4 linked regions of the Arabidopsis thaliana genome follow. The protein of the gene in region 3 interacts with the protein of the main gene of each other region in a pairwise test. Each region holds a gene or a part of one and is shown on either strand. Other genes may lie near its edges.

Region 1 (5,914 bases), on a different chromosome or scaffold from region 3:
CGTTGAAATTATCAATCATCCAACGAATGAAATCGCAGGGGATGGCTTTGTCTTCACTACTCATTACGTAAACTCGTTGCACCGAACCATATCCTTCCTCGCTAAACTTTTCTTTCTTTGATAGATCCTCTGTGAAAAATGACCCTTGCCTATGCAACATTTTTGCCAGCTCGTAATCCTTCACAGTGTAACCATCATGTAACCACACACCAAAACTAATTAATAATCATCTCATACGATGATTCATATTCGAAAACTTTAGCACATAGTTTGAATATAGATTTTGTTGTTTTGGCGTAACAAATTTTAGAGATTTGTGGGAACAATACCTCTATGGGACAATTTTGGTAAAGACGTGCCTTCATGAATTTTGGTCCCATCTTCAATAAACTCATCGTCCCATTTCTTGTTTCATGAGATGAAAACTCACAATCTCCCAAACCTCCAGGCATCTCCATATACTTTATTATTATCATCAACCAAACCAAGAATTATTTTCATGGTATTAAGATAAGTTGGTCAAATTATAAAAAACTACTAGTATCAAAATTATTTTTGTTATTTTATTGTTAACCTTGTCCAGAACGTGAGAAGGCACGTGGGTTGTGTCGGGCAAGAAGGCGTTGAGGAACACAAGAACCTTAATCTTCGCCGGAAATATGTCGGCGGCGAGAGCGATGTTGATGCCTCCGAAGCTGAATCCAACCAGAATTACCTCTTCGTTCTCTGGAAGAGATTTGAGGGTTTCGATCAACGGTTTGGAGTATTCGTCGACGGTTTCAACGGCCTGGATTGGTCGTGGGTCGATCCCGGAGGCGGCGAGTTCGACAGCAGTAACGCGGTGGCCGGCTGATTCAAGGAGGGGCTTGAGCTTGTACCAGATCCAGGCTCCATGATAAGCGTTGTGAACTAACACGAAGTGATGTTTCCTCTCCATATGTCTCCGTAGACGTTTTCTTTTTGGTTAAGGTTCTTTGCTTGTTTGAGAATAGCGTGATAAAGTTGGGATATGAGTATGACGTTATTATTATATAGTGATAGTGGGATAAGGTTCATATACGTTACGCTGTTAATAACTTCTTATGTTATGACACATGTTCAGATTTACTAGTCTCCTCGGTCGGCTGTTGTATACTTTTGTATACTTGTATTTAGATATATTTTAAATAAATAAAGCAGAATTCTGTAATCACACTTAGCTAAATTACATTAATTTTTTTGGACATTTAAAAAAATATATGAGTACATCACAGTTTCAATCTAATAACGGACCAACACATGTAAGATTTTGACATCCGCGATTAGATGGACGTAAAAAAGGCTTAATTAACGGAACTAATTGAACACGATAAACACGTGCCTGTTAAGTGTTAACCGACCTAATCTTCATATTGATCTGAGAATCTTCACAGCTTCCCTTCCTTCTTTGAGTCTAGCCGGCCCATGGGCCGTGAAACACTGTGACTGTGACTCTCTTTTATTGACTCATTTTAACCTTTTCCTTTTGCCTTTTGGTACCAATTTTTAACTTTTCCTTTGTACAGGGAGATTCGCTTCCTTTTTTTAGGCTGGCCATTTCGTCTTAGTGAGTGGTGTATAGTTGGCCATTTCAGTCAGCTGTATTATAGCCTCATTGTCAATGATGTCGAAAATCATTCCTCAATTTACACAATGGTTGTCAGGTAAAAAACAACGAGAGTTGATAAGTAGATTTAGGAGGGAAAAAAGAAAAAGACAATTTAGTTAGTCTTCTTTTACATCCACGTAATTAAATAGCACATCGTTCCAAACATCATTATCAAAGTTCATTAGTTATTTAGGGAAATTACAAGTTGCACGGAGAAAAAGCAGTTCGTGGACCAACATTGGACTTTTCTTTCAGACAAAGGCCATTAGCGAGCGAGAGTGATAATTGCGAAATTGCCAAAAAACGCAAAGTCTACCACTAGACAAGAAAATCGAAGCTTTTCACTTTCTCTTTTTTCTGTTTTGTTGTCTTTGGTTCTACTCTCCGCACTGAATCTTTCGATCAGCGATAATTGTTTCCTTCTTTTGGGATTTTCTCCTTGGGTACGAGGTTCTTTCCTTCTTTTATTTGCTCTGTTTTTGAGATTTGGAATTGTTATCAAGTCTGACAAAATTGGTCACTAATCTTTCTGGGAAATTGAGCATGTTCGTGTTCTTGCATCCGTTTGACTCTTTTTCTATGCAAAGTCTCAACCTTTCAATAGTGGAATTTATTCTTATCCCTAATTTCTCTTTACCAGACCTATTTTTAGCTAAGTTTGGTTGAATTTAGAAAGTCTTTGATTCATAGTTGAAGAGATTCTCTCCATTAATCTTTCTCTGTAATGTGTCAGATCCACTAAAAGTAAGTAAGAAAAAGATTTTGTTGTAATGTTATTAAATGTGTCTTTGTAGATGGAACCAGCTCAATTAATGAGATGAGATGAGAATGTTCAGCTTGCAGAAGATGGCTATGGCTTTTACTCTCTTGTTTTTTGCCTGTTTATGCTCATTTGTGTCTCCAGATGCTCAAGGTGATGCCTTTTCTTACTTTTCAACTGCTATTTTGTTGCTCTCATTTCTTGTTTCGTTTCTGGTAATTTCTGAGCTTGTTCAGGTTGAAGATTTAACTCTATGATTCTTTGCTTTTCCATTTTCAGGGGATGCACTGTTTGCGTTGAGGATCTCCTTACGTGCATTACCGAATCAGCTAAGTGACTGGAATCAGAACCAAGTTAATCCTTGCACTTGGTCCCAAGTTATTTGTGATGACAAAAACTTTGTCACTTCTCTGTAAGTTTAATGACAACTCTGAATTAGTCAATGTTGTTTCCATGTGAGAAGATTTATATTCATGTCATTTGTGATTGCAGTACATTGTCAGATATGAACTTCTCGGGAACCTTGTCTTCAAGAGTAGGAATCCTAGAAAATCTCAAGACTCTGTAAGTGCTTTAGATTGAGTCTCTCTTTTTGTCTGAAATCCTAGAACATAGATATTAGGTTGTGAGCATTTCGCTACCTTCTTTTTATATATAGTACTTTAAAGGGAAATGGAATTACGGGTGAAATACCAGAAGACTTTGGAAATCTGACTAGCTTGACTAGTTTGGATTTGGAGGACAATCAGCTAACTGGTCGTATACCATCCACTATCGGTAATCTCAAGAAACTTCAGTTCTTGTAAGTAGTTCCGCCTCACAATGCTGTTAAATCTTGCACATGTTTTAAAACATTTTTAAGACGTAGAAAAGGATTACTCATGTCTTTATTCACTTGTGTGTTGGCTAAACAGGACCTTGAGTAGGAACAAACTTAATGGGACTATTCCGGAGTCACTCACTGGTCTTCCAAACCTGTTAAACCTGTGAGTTACTGTTCTTTGTGTTTATGCTTACCATCTTTCTGGAAGCATCCTTGTCTTAATTCCATTGTTTGAAACTATGTTTACAGGCTGCTTGATTCCAATAGTCTCAGTGGTCAGATTCCTCAAAGTCTGTTTGAGATCCCAAAATATAAGTATGTTTGACTACTTCAAGTTTAATCTAGCATGCTCATTTCTTTAGCAGTAATTTGATCTGTTTCTAATCGACTATAGTTTCACGTCAAACAACTTGAATTGTGGCGGTCGTCAACCTCACCCTTGTGTATCCGCGGTTGCCCATTCAGGTAAACTACTTCACTTTGCGATTGCTCTGACCGCATTTTCTTTATTTTCAACCATTTCAAAAGTATGAAAGACTGAAAACATCTAATCTGCGGTGATAGGTGATTCAAGCAAGCCTAAAACTGGCATTATTGCTGGAGTTGTTGCTGGAGTTACAGTTGTTCTCTTTGGAATCTTGTTGTTTCTGTTCTGCAAGGATAGGCATAAAGGATATAGACGTGATGTGTTTGTGGATGTTGCAGGTCTGTAATATACCCTACAGGGAAACCTTTCTTTCGTATTTCGTATTTCGGTATGTTATGATGTATTGATATGCAGATTTGTGGAACTTTACTATTTTTCAGGTGAAGTGGACAGGAGAATTGCATTTGGACAGTTGAAAAGGTTTGCATGGAGAGAGCTCCAGTTAGCGACAGATAACTTCAGCGAAAAGAATGTACTTGGTCAAGGAGGCTTTGGGAAAGTTTACAAAGGAGTGCTTCCGGATAACACCAAAGTTGCTGTGAAGAGATTGACGGATTTCGAAAGTCCTGGTGGAGATGCTGCTTTCCAAAGGGAAGTAGAGATGATAAGTGTAGCTGTTCATAGGAATCTACTCCGTCTTATCGGGTTCTGCACCACACAAACAGAACGCCTTTTGGTTTATCCCTTCATGCAGAATCTAAGTCTTGCACATCGTCTGAGAGAGATCAAAGCAGGCGACCCGGTTCTAGATTGGGAGACGAGGAAACGGATTGCCTTAGGAGCAGCGCGTGGTTTTGAGTATCTTCATGAACATTGCAATCCGAAGATCATACATCGTGATGTGAAAGCAGCTAATGTGTTACTAGATGAAGATTTTGAAGCAGTGGTTGGTGATTTTGGTTTAGCCAAGCTAGTAGATGTTAGAAGGACTAATGTGACTACTCAAGTTCGAGGAACAATGGGTCACATTGCACCAGAATATTTATCAACAGGGAAATCATCAGAGAGAACCGATGTTTTCGGGTATGGAATTATGCTTCTTGAGCTTGTTACAGGACAACGCGCAATAGACTTTTCACGTTTGGAGGAAGAAGATGATGTCTTGTTACTTGACCACGTATGTATAATCAAATAATCCTACCTCGAAGTAGCTTCTCTCAAGCTTTATTGACCGTAATCTTTTGGATCTTTTTTTTGTTTTGGACAGGTGAAGAAACTGGAAAGAGAGAAGAGATTAGGAGCAATCGTAGATAAGAATTTGGATGGAGAGTATATAAAAGAAGAAGTAGAGATGATGATACAAGTGGCTTTGCTTTGTACACAAGGTTCACCAGAAGACCGACCAGTGATGTCTGAAGTTGTGAGGATGTTAGAAGGAGAAGGGCTTGCGGAGAGATGGGAAGAGTGGCAAAACGTGGAAGTCACGAGACGTCATGAGTTTGAACGGTTGCAGAGGAGATTTGATTGGGGTGAAGATTCTATGCATAACCAAGATGCCATTGAATTATCTGGTGGAAGATGACCAAAAACATCAAACCTTGAGTTTACTGTAAAGTTGCCAACTTCACTTTTTTGTTTTGTTCTTCGGTGAAGAAGTAAAATCAGTTGTATAAATCTTGTTTTTGTTTCATGATGTATCTTTTGACTTTAATAAATTCTGTGAATGAAAAGAACTATGATGTTTTGTTGACTTTTTTCGTTGACCGCAAGAAACCTTTTTGTCGTCTTATACTGTCAGGCCTATTACAAAGTTGTCGTTTATATGGGCCTAATATGGGCTTTTAAATACATGTTTTCTGTCCCAAGTTGTCCTAGTTTTGCCAACTCAATTTATGATTTTTTTTTTTAATTATATCACAAAATAAAGATTTCTGTATTCTCTGACATGAAAATTAATATTTATTATTGAAAAATCGTTGTTTTCATATTTGAATAGAAAACAAGAAGAACAAAAAATTAACATATTTTTAATCATCTCTAAATTGTGTTAGATACAATAGCAATGTATTTTAAAGATTTTTATGTTCATGATCGAAAATATCCAAAAATATTTAAGATTGAAGAATGGATAATAATATACATTATCCATTGACAAAAAAAATCTATACATCATTATCATTTGGATACGGATGAAGTAAATTCCCTAATTGCACAAGATCTTTACAAGCCTCGATTATGTGTCAATTCAACATTATAACAAAATTAATAATAATAAAATAGATTCAATGAGTGATTTTTCTATAAAACCTAATGAGAGATCACTTTATCTGACATCAC
Region 2 (4,668 bases), on a different chromosome or scaffold from region 3:
TCCTAGCCGTCGAATATGAACCAAATTTATTACCTGACCTATAAACACACACATATGCAGGCAAATGGACACATGTGTTCTATGAATCAGTGTTGGTGAAGAGAGAGCTTGTCGTGTAATGAGAGTTGCATGTGTTCAACAACTTTGTGTATGTTTTGTAATTTTCCTCTTGTGATATTTTCTACGGTGAGAATTCCATTTGCAAGGTTACATCAATGGGTGAAGCCTGTACGTCCAACATGTGACCAGACCTTCTTTTATATCAACGGTCCAAATTAACATTACATTAACATACACAAATATATTATATATTTAATACTATTGTTCCTGTTCTTCTTTTTATTGTCGTTACCTCGTTAGCATCAATGACGAATGAAAATGACAAACGATACATTGTGTTGTTCGAATTCGTGTTATTGTTGCCAAAACGATGTGATAATAATGGAACTATGTTCATTGTATTGGCGTTGCCCGCTGGTTTACAACGATCTATTTCATCGATGAATTTTGGTAATTAACGATATAAAATTTTCAATACTAAAAGACACACCTTTTTCAACATTTCTTTTTATAACTTATGATGTTCCCATTCCATTATATTATAGCTCAACTTACAAACTAACTTGTCACATGTAAATTACTCATTGACTCGTGACAACTATTGACGGCAATATTATCAAACTCGTGGTTGGAAATATTTTAAGTCCACAAAGGAGGAGAAAATAAAATTCTTGAATATTGAAAATTCTTATACCTCTATGATATAAAAGAAAATAAAATCAAAGAGAAGTACCACAAAAACAAATTTTTAGTATTTAAAAATGCCATTACTTTGGAAAAGGTCCCAAAATATCACAAAATCTAGGCTTAGGAAGGGTCTCTAAACGTTTATTAAGAATTACTAAGCCCAAAACTTGAAAACTCCTAAAACTCTTTCTTCAAATTTAGACTAATCATTTTTAATTCTCTCCAAAATATTAGTAACCCTTGTAAAGCCTAAACATTTTAGTAAATTTTATGATTTTTGGTGGTAATTTTGGAAAATAAAGCATAAAATGTGGTATTCCGAGGACTGACCAAATTTCAAAAATTCAAATAAATGATTAATATCCTAAATCAATCATTATTTTTTATAATTGTTTTTGAGAAACTTATATTAATACTATTTTCAGGCATTTTCTTATAAATTACCCTATGGTTTTAGTAGGCAACAAAAAGATGAACGTCTCAGATTTTTTTGAATTCAATTTAATCTTAACAAAAGCGATAAATATCAAGAAGATAATTGGGTACGTGTATTGTGTACTATTTCAAAATTGATATTTGCTTCCATAACGTAACGTAACGTAAGACCCAAAGATTAACACTTGGTTTCTTCATGGTCGTAGATTATTAAAAGTTTATAACTAATGACGACAAAGTTTAAACGAAAAACAATATTTTCTCAATTTTCACTAGTTTTTTTTTTTTATTCCAGAAAATTATTAGTATACAACCAACTATTTTTACGATTATAAACTTTTATTTGATGATATTCATAATTTAGAAAAACCTTAAACGGATCTTAATGTCAATATCATCAGCTCATGCACCGCCTCTCGGATATGTTGACAAAATTACCCCATACAATATAAACCACCAAACCATAACCACAAAGGGTATATTCGTATATTATAAAAATATCTGAATAGTCGAACTTGTCGTTACACTCAAAAACGAAATCTTTCCCTCCTCTGTTCTCAATCTTTCTATAAATTCTCTTCTTCTTCTTCTTCCATTTTCCCAACAACACAAAGTCTCTCTCTCTCTGATAAAATCTTAAAACCCACCTCGAGATCATAGTCTTCATCAATTAGCCATAAAAAAGCACAATGCTTTCTTCAATCAAACCATCTTCGTCTTCCTTCTCCACCGCTATCTCCGGCAGCGTAAGGCGGTCAATTCCTACAAAGCTCAAGTTTTCTCCTTTACTCATCATCAAAAACTGCCATAACCAAAGCTTTAACGCTAATGTTGTCTCCCATCAAAAGCCTCTACACATTTCATCTGCTTCGAATTTCAAGCGTGAGGTCAAAGTCGAAGCTTACGAGGCCGATCGTTCCCGTCCACTGGACATCAACATCGAGCTTCCCGATGAACAATCCGCGCAGAAACTGAAAATCGGAATCTACTTCGCAACTTGGTGGGCACTTAACGTTGTCTTCAACATCTACAACAAGAAAGTCCTCAATGCTTTTCCTTACCCGTGGCTTACTTCGACGTTGTCTCTCGCTTGTGGTTCTTTGATGATGCTTGTCTCTTGGGCTACTAGAATCGCAGATGCTCCTAAAACTGATCTCGAGTTCTGGAAAACTCTGTTCCCGGTAAGTAATTAGGGTTTATTGTGTGTAGTTGTTGCCTCAAAAGTTTCAATCTTTTTTTTTTACGATTGAGAGCTCAGTTTCTGGAATACTCTGTTTTTCCGGTACGAATTCATGATTTATTCTGTTTTCTGGTAAAAAGTCATGATTTACTCTGTTTTACGGTAAGAATTTTAGATTCTCTGTTTTCATGTAAGTATTTTATATCTTCTCTGTTTTCATGTAAGAATTTAGTGTACTTTCGAGCATGAAACTGATCTTGAGATCTGTCTTCCGGTAATGGTTTAGGTATTTTCATGATGTTGTTGCTTGATGGATTTATAATTTTGTTTGTTGTCTGATAATGAAAGAGTGTGTTTTGATCGATGTTCCCGTTTTTTCTTATTCTTCAAGGTCGCTGTAGCACACACGATAGGACACGTTGCAGCAACAGTGAGTATGTCAAAAGTAGCAGTTTCCTTCACACACATCATTAAAAGTGGTGAACCAGCTTTCAGTGTCTTAGTCTCAAGATTCTTCATGGGAGAGACTTTCCCTCTTCCTGTCTATCTCTCTCTCTTACCAATCATCGGAGGCTGCGCTCTCGCGGCCATCACCGAGCTTAACTTCAACATCACTGGTAAAACTCACAATCCTAGAATATTGGTTTCACATGGTGACATTTCTTTGATTTATGGTCTTATGTGAAACTTTGTGGAATTTTTTTTGTAGGGTTTATGGGGGCAATGATATCGAATTTGGCATTTGTGTTCCGGAATATCTTTTCGAAGAAAGGGATGAAAGGGAAGTCAGTGAGCGGAATGAACTACTACGCTTGCTTATCGATGATGTCTCTTGTGATCCTCACTCCATTTTCTATTGCCGTGGAAGGTCCTCAAATGTGGGCTGCTGGTTGGCAAAATGCGGTTTCTCAAGTCGGACCAAACTTTGTCTGGTATGATCTAAAAACCAAATCAATAATCTTTAATTGTTTGTTAAGTTTTATAGACTCCAACTCAAATGACTATGAGTGGATTGGTATATATTGCTTTAGTTCCCTTCTAACTTAAGATATAAGATTCTAACTTAATGTGTTGTTTTTGTTTTTTGAATCAATAGGTGGGTAGTGGCACAAAGTGTGTTTTACCATTTGTACAATCAGGTCTCATACATGTCATTAGACCAGATTTCGCCGTTAACTTTCAGTATCGGTAATACGATGAAGCGGATTTCCGTTATTGTTGCATCGATCATCATTTTCCATACCCCGATTCAACCGGTTAATGCCCTCGGTGCTGCCATTGCGATTTTTGGAACTTTCCTCTACTCACAGGTAAACAAACAAACTTATTCTTGTTTACCTACCTCTAGTACTTGGTTCTTTAGTGAACAATTTCTAGTTCTAATATAATTCATTGACGTTCTTCCTATGTTCTTTGCAATCATTGAGCAGGCGAAGCAGTGAGGATGGTTTAGGAGGCAGTTTTTTGGGTTTGTTTTGCAAAAGAAAATGAAAACTAACAAAAGAGTAGCCGGGGAGGAGAGAACATTCCGGTGAGATCAACATCGGAAAATGCTTTTCCCCGGTCCATGGATATGAAGAAACTGGAGCTTGAAGTTGATAGAGTGTTTGCTTTTACTTTTTTTTTCATTGTCTCATAATAGATTCTGCACAAGACAGGCTAATTCTATATTATCTATGTTTTATTTAGATGATCGTAATAATAAAGATATCAGTGTCATTTCTTGATCAGACCATCTACTGAATTATTTTTGAGGTATCTATCAGTTGATGCATGTGTAATAGTTTCAGAAATCACTGAATTATAAATATATTGAGGTGTGTCGCTACTGGCCTATATACATATCATATTAGGCCATTAGGTTAAAAATTCTACTCAATCCATTCCTTATAATTGGTCTAGTTAGCTATATTGGTCTCTCACACACTCTCTTATTCCAAGAAGAACATTAGGAAACTCCAATATTGGGCCTGGTCCATGTACTCTTCTAAGTTCGTCTATACTTGGACACTGTCTCCATTTTGTGGGCTAGGGATCTACAATCCAATGACTGCAAAATATTTACGGCATGCAAAACTTCTTATGACAAGTGTGTTTGACACACGTCTCTAAAATTTCAATTATGTGGATGTGCTTATTTGTATCAATGCATTTCATGCTTGCTTGGCTTCGTATGGAAAAAGTATGAGCCATCATAAAAATTTGTTAAAAAAGATTCGAGTCATTTACATTGTTTTAGGAGCCTTTTTTGATCGGTTAGGGTGCTAGAGAACCCATTACATACTAGTCATCTGGGGGTATTAGTA
Region 3 (4,660 bases):
TAAAGTTTGGACTATGCATTGATCAAAAGCTTTTAATCGAAGGATATGGAAGTTATCGATTAGAAAGATGAGGTTTTACTATCTTCCTTATTGTTTCTCTGAATGGTTTCTCGGCGCATAAATATATATAATGGATCACCAAGAATTTTCATGTTATTTTGCTCATTAGAAATCACCAAGAATTTTCATGTATAGCATTTCCGAACTTAGAATTTTCTAATATGAAACAATTTAGAACTAAAAGGCCTTTTGGGTTGTGTCCAAAAAGAAAAACCTCACACGTTGACAATGTAAAATTCCATGATTTATTATAAACTCTTTCATGCATGCAATTGGTTAGTTTTTGCAAGTTGGGCTACAATGACGTTTTTGTTATCGGTTTCTCAATCACTCCTTTTCTGTCTCCATGTATCGTCGTCACTTTCCTCTATTTTACTTGAAAATAATACCATTAATTCAAAACATCTTTTAATTTGGTCGGTTCAAAACAAAATAAAAAACCATAGCCATTATTTGATAGTAACTGCAGTTCAATTGCATTTTTATTTGTGATAATAGATGGAGCAAAATTAGTTTGTCAACAATTTTTTCTTTCGTAATACTAAAATTTATTTTCTTTGGTAGAAGCTTGTCAGTGTGTAACATGAAGAGAGGATTTTGGAACCGGATACAATACATTGATAAGAGAGGAATCAATGATTTGATTAAACAAAGCCAAGACGAACCGGACTAAACCGGAGATAGAAAAAATACTTTATAAACCAGAAATCAATAGAAACACACCAAGGGAAGAAGAAGGGAAAGCAAGCAAGCACCAGAAGATTCTAAGTATACTACTAACAAGCTTTAAACTGAACACAAACCCCAAACCGAAGAGAATAAAAACAGAGTATTCTACATAGTCTTGCATAGTTACGTTTCATCAGCCAAAACTTGAAAAGAAGAGAAGCCAGTGAAAACAAAAGTTTGAATCTCTGAACAAGGAGCAACCGAAATAAACAGTTTACCTTTAGTTTAAGAAGAGCAACATGCTCGTTTCGCGCCTCCAGATGTGTCATCGACGTTAATCGTAGTTCCTTGCCCAGGGATTGCAGAATTAGCTGCTGCTGCTTCTTGTGCAGCCAGTGCCTTTTTGCTTATGATATGGTAGATCTCACCTAAGATGGTCTGAAACGCTTTCTCGACGTTTGTTGCTTCAAGAGCAGATGTCTCCAGGAAAGAGAGACCTTCCTTCTCAGCCAAACTTTGACCATCTTCCTCAGCAACGGATCTCAAGTGGTTCAGATCGGATTTGTTCCCAGCCATCATGATCACAATGTTGGAATCTGCATGGTCTCTCAGTTCGCGCAGCCACCTTAAAACATTGTCAAAGGTCTGTCTCTTAGTAATGTCGTAGACAAGAAGTGCACCCACTGCGCCTCTGTAATACGCGCTTGTGATCGCCCTGTACCTCTCCTGACCTGCAGTGTCCCAGATCTGGGCCTTAATGGTCTTTCCTTCAACCTGTGTATGCATGAGAGATTCACCGTAACAACCAGTTAGATCTTAGGTATTGAAGCATTCCCAGGTTTATGAATAAGAATGCTAATTCAACAATCAAAAGTAAAGAACATATATCTTCTCAGTTGTTAAAACCAGGTTAGTAACATTATTAACAATCAACATTTTAAATGCATCTTTCCGCATTCAACTACATAAGTGTATCATAGAATTCCTCTTGTCAAAAAATTTATCGGTTGACTTTACGAAAGTATAAAGGTGGACAAGGTCAAGCATGACAAATGATCAGGAAATAGAATGAATTATTGAGACAAGCTGTGAGAATCTTCTTATTTTTTTTAATTGGCCTTCACGACCATCCATTTATAGTCTTAAAATGAGAAAAGCATCTGTCATAACTCATAGCCAGCACAACTAAGATTTTTTCTCTTGAACAAAAGATTCAGTAGCTGAGAAAAAATCCGCCGTCTACTCTCTCAAAACACTGTATTCTTCAATCTTAAGAAACCAACGCAACCAAAAACCTTAAGACCTATCACTTAATTGCTATCCAAATCAAAGAAACTAACGAAGAAGCAACTTTAAACGAAACAAAACAGACTAAAAGCTCTAGAGCCATCACTTGAAATTAACCATCGAATACCTGAATTCTACACTACACTAATGAGGTCATGAAGCTACAAGCAAAACCAAATTACATAATTGAAATATACACTACACTAATGTGGTCATGAAGCTACAAGCAAAACCAAAATACATAACTGAAGACGGTAAATCTATGTATAGCAGTGAAAGTAAAAACCTTCACGGATTATAGCTAAAGATAAATCAAAACAGAGACAAGCTAATAAGAAGAAAAAACCTATCCCAAAATCCCATCTTTAAGCCTCTTAACATTATATACCAAACCTAAATTACTATCTCTTCGTATTACTCTGATTCTAACAGCAAATATTCTGAATTTCACTCCTAAAGTACTTAAAGAGAGAAACAGAGAAAAATTCGAATCTCACCTGAGTAGTTCTGGTGGCGAATTCAACACCAATAGTGGATTTAGATTCCAAGCAAAACTCATTCCTGGTGAATCTCGACAAGATATTCGATTTCCCAACACCAGAATCACCAATCAACACAATCTTAAACAAATAATCATATTCCTGATCTACTCTATGCGTCATTTTCTCCTTCTCTCTTCGATCTCGCAATAAAACCTACAAATTCGAAAGAAAAAAAAGACAGAAACTTTATTACTTTTCTCCAAAATCAAACCCAGATCCAACGAAATTAAGACGAACCCACAAGTAATTCAGAAGACGAAAAACGATTCGTGTACCTTAATGGCGGATGAATCGAGAAAAATATCGAATTTTTTGAGATCTATAAAGAAAGAAACTTTGAGTAAGAAGCTTTAAATGTTTGTTCTCACTCACAATCAATGGAGGAAAATGGAATTTTTCTTGTTTAATTTGATGGGCTTCGTCTTCTTCTTCGTGAGAAAGAGGAGAGGAGCAATAAAGTGAATATACGGTGTATCTATACGTATCTCTGTGTCAGGGAATAGAAACGACGTCGCGTTTGAGAAAAAGACAAAGACTTCAGTTATCGTGCTGATGTGGCAACTAATGATTCGTTAGCAGGCTGGCAAAAAGTAAGAGCATGTTCCAAGGGGTATTATTGGAAATGTAGTTTTGAGCTTTATAATTGCGTTAAAGAGCAATGATTGTATTTGTGAGTGTGGTAATGATAATAAGCAACGTCAATTTGAAAATGTCGAATTAACAACTTTAATAGAAGAAGAAAATAATGAAATGAGGATGTGATGAATTGACCACTACATTCCCAACTTCCCATAATATTTGTAAGAATATAGTTCTGATCCATATAATATAATTAAACAATGTGGTGGTTCTGGTGGCGATGGCCGATGGGCAAATGAAGATGGTAGTGGATCATGTGGCGGCTTTAGAAGGCAACATGCTACAAGTCTAGTGGAAAATACGTCGGAGATTGCGATGGTAATAGGCTAATAGCTATAGAGGACGAGACTAGTCTTTTGGTGCGACACATATAGAATGTTACATTCTAATCTGATGAAGATGAGGACCATTAAGTCATTAACGCTAAATTATTAATCCCTGAAACGTCATACTTTTTTTCAACCTAACGTAATAACTTCATTTTGTTATAAATTTGATTTTGTGCCCTCTAATAAACCAAGTTTTTTTTTTGTTTTTTTTTATCGCAAAAACATCAAATAATTAAATTTGTTCGAAAAAGTTAGTTTCGTGGGCCAACTACTCCGAAACGAGAGGGTTTATATGGGAAAAAAGTACACCTCGTACTCTTGCACTCTTTGCGAGGCAGACAACACGGACATTCATAGTGCGTGGAATATGAGATAAAGAAAACCGACCAAAACTAGCTTTAAATCTAGCAAAATCTTTTCCACCGGCCAATCTTTACTTTCATCAAGGATCTTAAGTAAGCTTAAGCAATCGGTTTCAAAATGTATAGATTGGATACTTTGTTGTAAAGTGCACTCCATTGTCCAAAGAAGAGCTCCGAGTTCTGCGTAGAGGGCATTGCGATAACAATTCTGGCTACTTTGACCAAACAGCTTGGTCGTTGAGCTAGTCAACATGAACCCCAAACTAACATTCTGGTTAATACCAGTCCACGAAGCGTCAATTTGGCACATAGCTTCTCCTCTTTGAACGTGCGCATACTCACAAGCTTCAACTACTTCAGGTTCTTCCTCCGCATCAATGTCATGTTCTAGTTCTTGGGCAACTCTCCAACTTTTCGACTCAGAAATTACATGCGCTAGAATATATGGTGTTATGTACTCCCGTAACGTATTTTCAAAAAGTATATATTTGACCTATTTAAACATTTATTACTTTAGGTTATGAATAATCCTGACGCAATTCTTGCTGATTAGTCTTGACGCAATTGTACGTTGCTATTGATTTTAAACGAATACAGCACAAAAGAAGGCAATCGCGTGGACGAAAGAGGAGCCGATACATACAATTGCATACATCTATTTGTATACTATATTTGCTTTCTATTGGATAATTCACCCTAACTATTAAGAGTACATTTAGTCACAATATCTAAATTAAATCTATAAATGTGAATATGCACATAGAGTTTTCAC
Region 4 (5,450 bases), on a different chromosome or scaffold from region 3:
GTCAGTGAGACCAGTACCGAAAGGAGGCGTCTTAGGAGTGACAAGACCGAGAGCCACGGATCCGACTACGTAAGGAAACCCTACAGTTTCAGACAGGAAAGTGGCGGTGCACAACATGACGCAAATGGTGCATAGATGGGAAGCCTTGAGTTTCTTTCCTTCAGGGGTTCTCTTCACTATCCAGTTGAATATTGGTCGGCACACAACTACTATACCAACCAGCAGTAGTACCTTTGTGAAGGTAGGCAGATAAGTGGTCTTGGAGTAATTTTGATGCAAGAAACTGTCAAAGGTAATCAAAAGGAGGAAAAAACCCCAGCCGAAGCAGTTAGCCACCATTATGGAGGAGAGGGCTAACCTTCCGGGCTCCGAGTTCAGCATCTTGAGATTCGACAAAACCGAATACGCCACTTGAAAATACACTACGGATTGGTTTGTTAGTAAATTGTGGAGCTGCTCGGGATTATTTTTCGCCACGGTTCCACGGATGTTGCTCGTGATTACTGTACATGCTATGGCGCCCACCACGTAAGGAAACAGAAAAAGAGATAATCCATTGATGATTGCTAGCTTGCCTCCTCGCTTTATAACTCCCATGTCCACTTGAGCCGTGCTTATGTATGAGATGAACATGAAGGATATTGCCTCAAATGATTCTATTATGAAATAGCTTCTTGTGTTGAATAATTTTTTTACTAAATCAATGTTTTGTCCCAAAGCCGAGGGTCCTAAGAATATCCCAGCCTGTTTCATATATACCAACAAAATATCACACTTCTATAGTTTAAACCTTTTTTTCTTTGCGGGAAATATAGAGAGATCCAAAATTTATTAAAAAAAACGTAGAAAATGGTATGATAAAGTGATTACATACCAGAATTTGAGTGACGAAGTCGACATTTGCGAGAGGGCGGAGAAGAGCTTGGAAGACGGAAGAGAGAGAAGAGACGAGAGAAATGAGAAGAAGAAGAAGAGGAGTTGAATATTTCAATGGATCATCTCCTCTAAGTAATCCGCCAGAGCTTGATCCCAACCATGCCTCGCATACAAATTCATGTGTGCCATTACTTGTAACACTATTGTTCATCTTGTTTCTCTTTGGGAATATTTTTTCTTCTTAAAACTAGTATTCACGTTCTTCTTTATAACCATTTTTGTTTGTGTTTTTGAATTCAGCATAACGCTAACTAATTGAGCAAACAGATCAAGCTTGTTGAGCTGGGGAAGAAGATACATGTATCTTTTTTAAGATATTAAACAGTTTTTGTTGTTTTTTCAAGGATTTTGTGTTGACTTTATTATAACCGTCAGAGAAAAATAGGAAATTATATATGTCATATCTCACTTTGGCAGATGTATTTTTTGGTATTTTACACATTTTTTTTTTATTATAGTTTTATTTTTTTGTTGATCCTGATCTTTTTTAAATTAATACTTATAAGGAGTATTACTAGGTTGATTATTAATTAATCTTTTTTTGTTAGGGATCTAACTTCATGGATTTAGTAGCTAGGTTGGTTATTATAACATCAACATGCAAAATATATATTACAAACACACATGTTTGTGCAATCAATCTCAGGCTATAATGATGATCATCTGACCATGCTCAAGATTTTTGTACCACACAGAAAACATATATAGAAAACCTTAAAAGTAGGATGACCTCTAAAGAGAAATAAAGAACAAGAGGATAAACAACATGTACAATTAAACCCCTAAATATAGCTAGAGAGAGCAGAAACAAAAAAAAGAAGAGAATAATTAATACTTTCTTCTTTTCTTCAACTCACAACACAATCTCTCTCTTTCCCTCTATGGCTTGACTCTTTAGGGGAAATACCTAGCAGGAGGGAATGGAAAATATAACCAAAACTTTTCAGTACGGAGGAGTTGATTGGCTTTGCGAGCCATGGGTAGGTGCAGGCTCTTTGGGGATTGGCCGGGGAGAGAATCCGCTCAAGTTTGCTCTTCCTCTTCTTCTCCTTCAGATTTCTGTCTTTTCCATATTTTCCGTATCTTTTCAGTTTCTTCTTCGGCCTTTTGGAAAATTTGCATTCCTCACTCAGATGCTGGTATACGTTTCCATATCTAAGCATCTATAATTGGAAGCTTTCTAGTGGAAAAATATGGACTAGTCGTCTCAAAAACATGTATAGCCATGCCCATAATGGTGTAAATGTGACTTAATATTTAATAGTGAATTTGTTTGCAGGCTGGGATCTGCTTAGGACCGTCCGTTATAGGACGTAACAAACAGTACATGGCTACATTCTTCTACGCGAGAAGCGTGTACATAATCGAATCCTTCGAGGCCATATGTTTTCTCTTCATTTGCTACATCACAACATGTCAAGTAGACACTAGGATGATAAAGAGAGTAGGCAAGTTAGCATTCATAAACGGCATCTTACTTTTCCTCATACCTTTCGTATGGGGCCAATTCGCGGCCATCTTGATCTCCAAGAGGCTCAAAAGCGGGCCTGCGGGGATCCCTCCCGTGGAGTTCCACCATGTAGCGATCGTCCAGTCCACAATGTTTTTTCAGGTGGTTTACGGAGTCTTGTCGAGCCTAAAGATGTTGAACACTGAGCCAGGGAGGTTAGCACTTGCATCCATGATGGTGCATGACTGCCTCTCTTGGTGTTTTTTCATGCTTAACATCGCCATTAAACTTAATGTTGACTTACCCAATAAAAATCGCGCTGCTTTCTTGTCCGTCTTACAGGTACCCAAGTTGATAAATAATTTCTTAATTAATCTACAAATTTTGCTTTGGAACATCTTCCAATTTTCTTACTATAAAAACATAATTGACTGTGTAAATTCCTACAAAAATAGACAAACTAACTAAGATCCTAATAAAATGCATGAATCCAATAATATTTACGTATAGTATAAACTTGCTTTGATCTATATATACGCTTTTTTATTAATGATATAAAGACGGAAATGAATGCAGATGATAATGATATTGGTGATAGCATATGTGTTCCGACCACTAATGCTGTGGATGAAGAATCGAACACCAGAAGGACACTCTCTCAAGGCCTCCTATCTCTCTGTTATATGCGTCTTGCTCTTCATCTCCTGCCTCTGGGCAGAATTTGTGGGTTTACCTTACTTCTTTGGTGCGGTCGTCTTAGGTCTAGCCACCCCAAAACGTCCGCCTCTAGGCACGGGACTGTCAGACAAAATCGGTTGTTTTGTTTGGTCTGTCCTGATGCCTTGCTACGTCATTGGGATTGGCCTCAATATCGATCTCTCACTGTTTTCCTGGAGAGATGTTATCCGGTTTGAGCTACTTTTTGGGGTGGTCAGGTTTGCCAAAATGATAGCCATTGCCTTGCCTTCCCTTTACTATAAAGTGCCTCTTTGGCACGCCATTCTTGTCGGGTTTATCGTCAATATACAAGGACTTTACGACGTTCAAATATACAAACAGAATTTCAATTACACGGTAACAATAATTCATTTAGGATATACTTTGGAACATATATAATTTTAGGTCAATAACAATCAATAATGGTCAATGGGTGCAGAAAATATCAAGCAAATCTTTTGGAGCAATGGTGATGTCAGCAACGGTAAACTCGACAATTTTCATAGTGATAGTGAAGAAACTGTACCAAACCATGAGCAAACGCAACCCTTACAAGAGACGTACGGTGCAACACTGCCGAGTGGAGGCTCCCCTAAGGATCCTCACTTGTTTCCGGAACCGTGAGGCGGTCCGCCCGGTGCTTGACCTCGTCGAACTCTCTCGTCCAGCCATCGGGTCTCCTCTCTCAGTCTTCGCGGTGAATCTAGAAGAGCTTAATAACCATAGTCTTCCCCTCCTTATCCATCACACGCAAGAGATTAGTCCCTTCCTCGTGCCTAGCCGAAGGGACCAGATCGTTAAGGCCTTCCACAACTTCGAGAAGACTAATCAGGAGACCGTGTTGATAGAGTGCTTCACGGCAGTGGCACCGCGAAAGACGATGCACGAGGACGTGTGTGCGATTGCCTTTGACCAGGAAACAGATATTGTGATCCTAACTCTTGATGCCGGGATCGAGTTATGGGAGAGGCTCCTGTGTCGTAATCTCCTGCACAACTGTCCCTGCTCTGTTGCGCTTTTCATAGACAGAGGAAGGCTCCCAGATTTCAGGTTCGTTCCACTGAAAAAGCTTACCATCAATATTGGTGCTATCTTCTTAGGAGGACCAGATGACCGTGAAATGCTTGCGTATGCAACACGCTTAGCCAGCCATCCAAGCGTCGAGCTCCAAGTCTTCCGGCTCGTGGACCAGAACGGCGTCTCTCCGCTCAGAGACATGGTCGAGAGGAATCACGACATGAGAGTCATCAACGTCTTCCGCAAAGAAAATTCCGAGAAAAACATCATCTTCAGAGAGGTAATGAGAACTATTTTGCCTTGGCTTGGAAGCTATCTTATTTCCCCTTAGACGAAACCTTCTCTATGCAACAGAGGTTTCTATTCGGTTTAGAAAGTTTCTTGTGTAGACGAAACAGAGGTTTTTCTTTATCTAACCTATCATAATGTGTTCCCCTGTTTCTAACATTCTTAAAGGTAAGAATAGAGGAAGCAGTGAATCTACTGGATCTACTAAGGAAGGAAGGGGACGACTTCGATCTGATGATGGTCGGGATAAGACACGAAGAAAATCTTTTGATGTTGGAAGGATTGTCAGAATGGAGCGATATGAAGGAGTTAGGAGAGGTTGGAGATGTGTTGATCTCCAAAGATCTCGAGCTCTCTGTTTCGGTTCTCGCCGTACAGCAATGAGATTGGTGACCGTTTATCTCGTTTTCGTTCCCCGAGTTTATGGATTTGTACAGCCTTTTGTAGAATATTGAATACAAATTTTTTTCTAAAAAAGTTCTACCATTCAAGAAGATATCTTGTTTACTTATATCTTTCAAATCATTCCAGAGCATGTGATCACCAATGAAATTTCAACAGAGATTAACAGATTGTTCAATCATTTGGTTTAGTTAAGTACTTACCATCTTTACTTTTTTTTTTGTAGCTGTTCAGGTTAATGCATTTGCTGCACAAAAAGAACTTATGAATCTTGAACAACTGTGAGGTTGAAATTTGGATTTGCGGAAAAGAAGACCAAGTCCATTAGTTTGTCTACTCTTTTTACTTTTTAATAGCTTCAAAAAACAAACAGAACACAAAATTATTTCACACACAAATAAAGTTGATGTTGAGTAATATCGACACCTCAACAGGTTCAAATTTTACTAAACAGTTAGAAACAACAACAGTAACAATTATCCTACTATGAAACCCTTTGGGATAGACCCAATGGTGACAATGGTGCGGCTCCATAACACTCGTTATTGCTCTTATTTGATCTCCAGGAAATAGTTGATATTGCTCGGCTCACGTTTCCTTCTCTTGGGTAAGGCCGGTGGTTTAGGTAAAGCACCACCAC

The links.
Region 1: the proteins of RABA2c (region 3) and AT5G10290 interact in a protein complementation assay, tested with the Arabidopsis thaliana proteins (one large-scale study listed by BioGRID).
Region 2: the proteins of RABA2c (region 3) and GPT2 interact in a protein complementation assay, tested with the Arabidopsis thaliana proteins (one large-scale study listed by BioGRID).
Region 4: the proteins of RABA2c (region 3) and CHX27 interact in a protein complementation assay, tested with the Arabidopsis thaliana proteins (one large-scale study listed by BioGRID).

Annotation. Positions count from the first base shown.
Region 1 is NC_003076.8:3,234,707-3,240,620, reverse strand, and holds AT5G10290 (leucine-rich repeat transmembrane protein kinase family protein), read left to right. Parts: upstream 1-1,812; 5' UTR 1,813-2,070; intron 2,071-2,222; exon of another isoform or gene 2,223-2,421; 5' UTR 2,422-2,449; coding exon 2,450-2,540; intron 2,541-2,666; coding exon 2,667-2,799; intron 2,800-2,879; coding exon 2,880-2,951; intron 2,952-3,045; coding exon 3,046-3,189; intron 3,190-3,301; coding exon 3,302-3,373; intron 3,374-3,459; coding exon 3,460-3,525; intron 3,526-3,604; coding exon 3,605-3,675; intron 3,676-3,774; coding exon 3,775-3,915; intron 3,916-4,017; coding exon 4,018-4,754; intron 4,755-4,844; coding exon 4,845-5,159; 3' UTR 5,160-5,363; downstream 5,364-5,914. Other genes in the region: MES5 (methyl esterase 5), read right to left, coding at 1-178, 330-461, 575-937.
Region 2 is NC_003070.9:22,822,656-22,827,323, forward strand, and holds GPT2 (glucose-6-phosphate/phosphate translocator 2), read left to right. Parts: upstream 1-1,758; 5' UTR 1,759-1,871; coding exon 1,872-2,363; intron 2,364-2,753; coding exon 2,754-2,979; intron 2,980-3,071; coding exon 3,072-3,294; intron 3,295-3,458; coding exon 3,459-3,750; 3' UTR 3,751-3,792; coding exon of another isoform or gene 3,793-3,804; 3' UTR 3,805-4,128; downstream 4,129-4,668. UniProt on the Arabidopsis thaliana protein: Glucose 6-phosphate (Glc6P) transporter. Also transports inorganic phosphate, 3-phosphoglycerate, triose phosphates and, to a leser extent, phosphoenolpyruvate.
Region 3 is NC_003074.8:17,245,685-17,250,344, forward strand, and holds RABA2c (RAB GTPase homolog A2C), read right to left. Parts: upstream 3,140-4,660; 5' UTR 2,834-3,139; intron 2,712-2,833; 5' UTR 2,679-2,711; coding exon 2,514-2,678; intron 1,504-2,513; coding exon 1,015-1,503; 3' UTR 544-1,014; downstream 1-543. UniProt on the Arabidopsis thaliana protein: Intracellular vesicle trafficking and protein transport.
Region 4 is NC_003076.8:255,554-261,003, forward strand, and holds CHX27 (cation/H+ exchanger 27), read left to right. Parts: upstream 1-1,752; 5' UTR 1,753-1,856; coding exon 1,857-2,075; intron 2,076-2,215; coding exon 2,216-2,728; intron 2,729-2,962; coding exon 2,963-3,460; intron 3,461-3,542; coding exon 3,543-4,400; intron 4,401-4,576; coding exon 4,577-4,792; 3' UTR 4,793-4,937; downstream 4,938-5,450. Other genes in the region: CHX26 (cation/H+ exchanger 26), read right to left, coding at 1-744, 875-1,087; AT5G01700 (Protein phosphatase 2C family protein), read right to left, coding at 5,295-5,450. UniProt on the Arabidopsis thaliana protein: May operate as a cation/H(+) antiporter.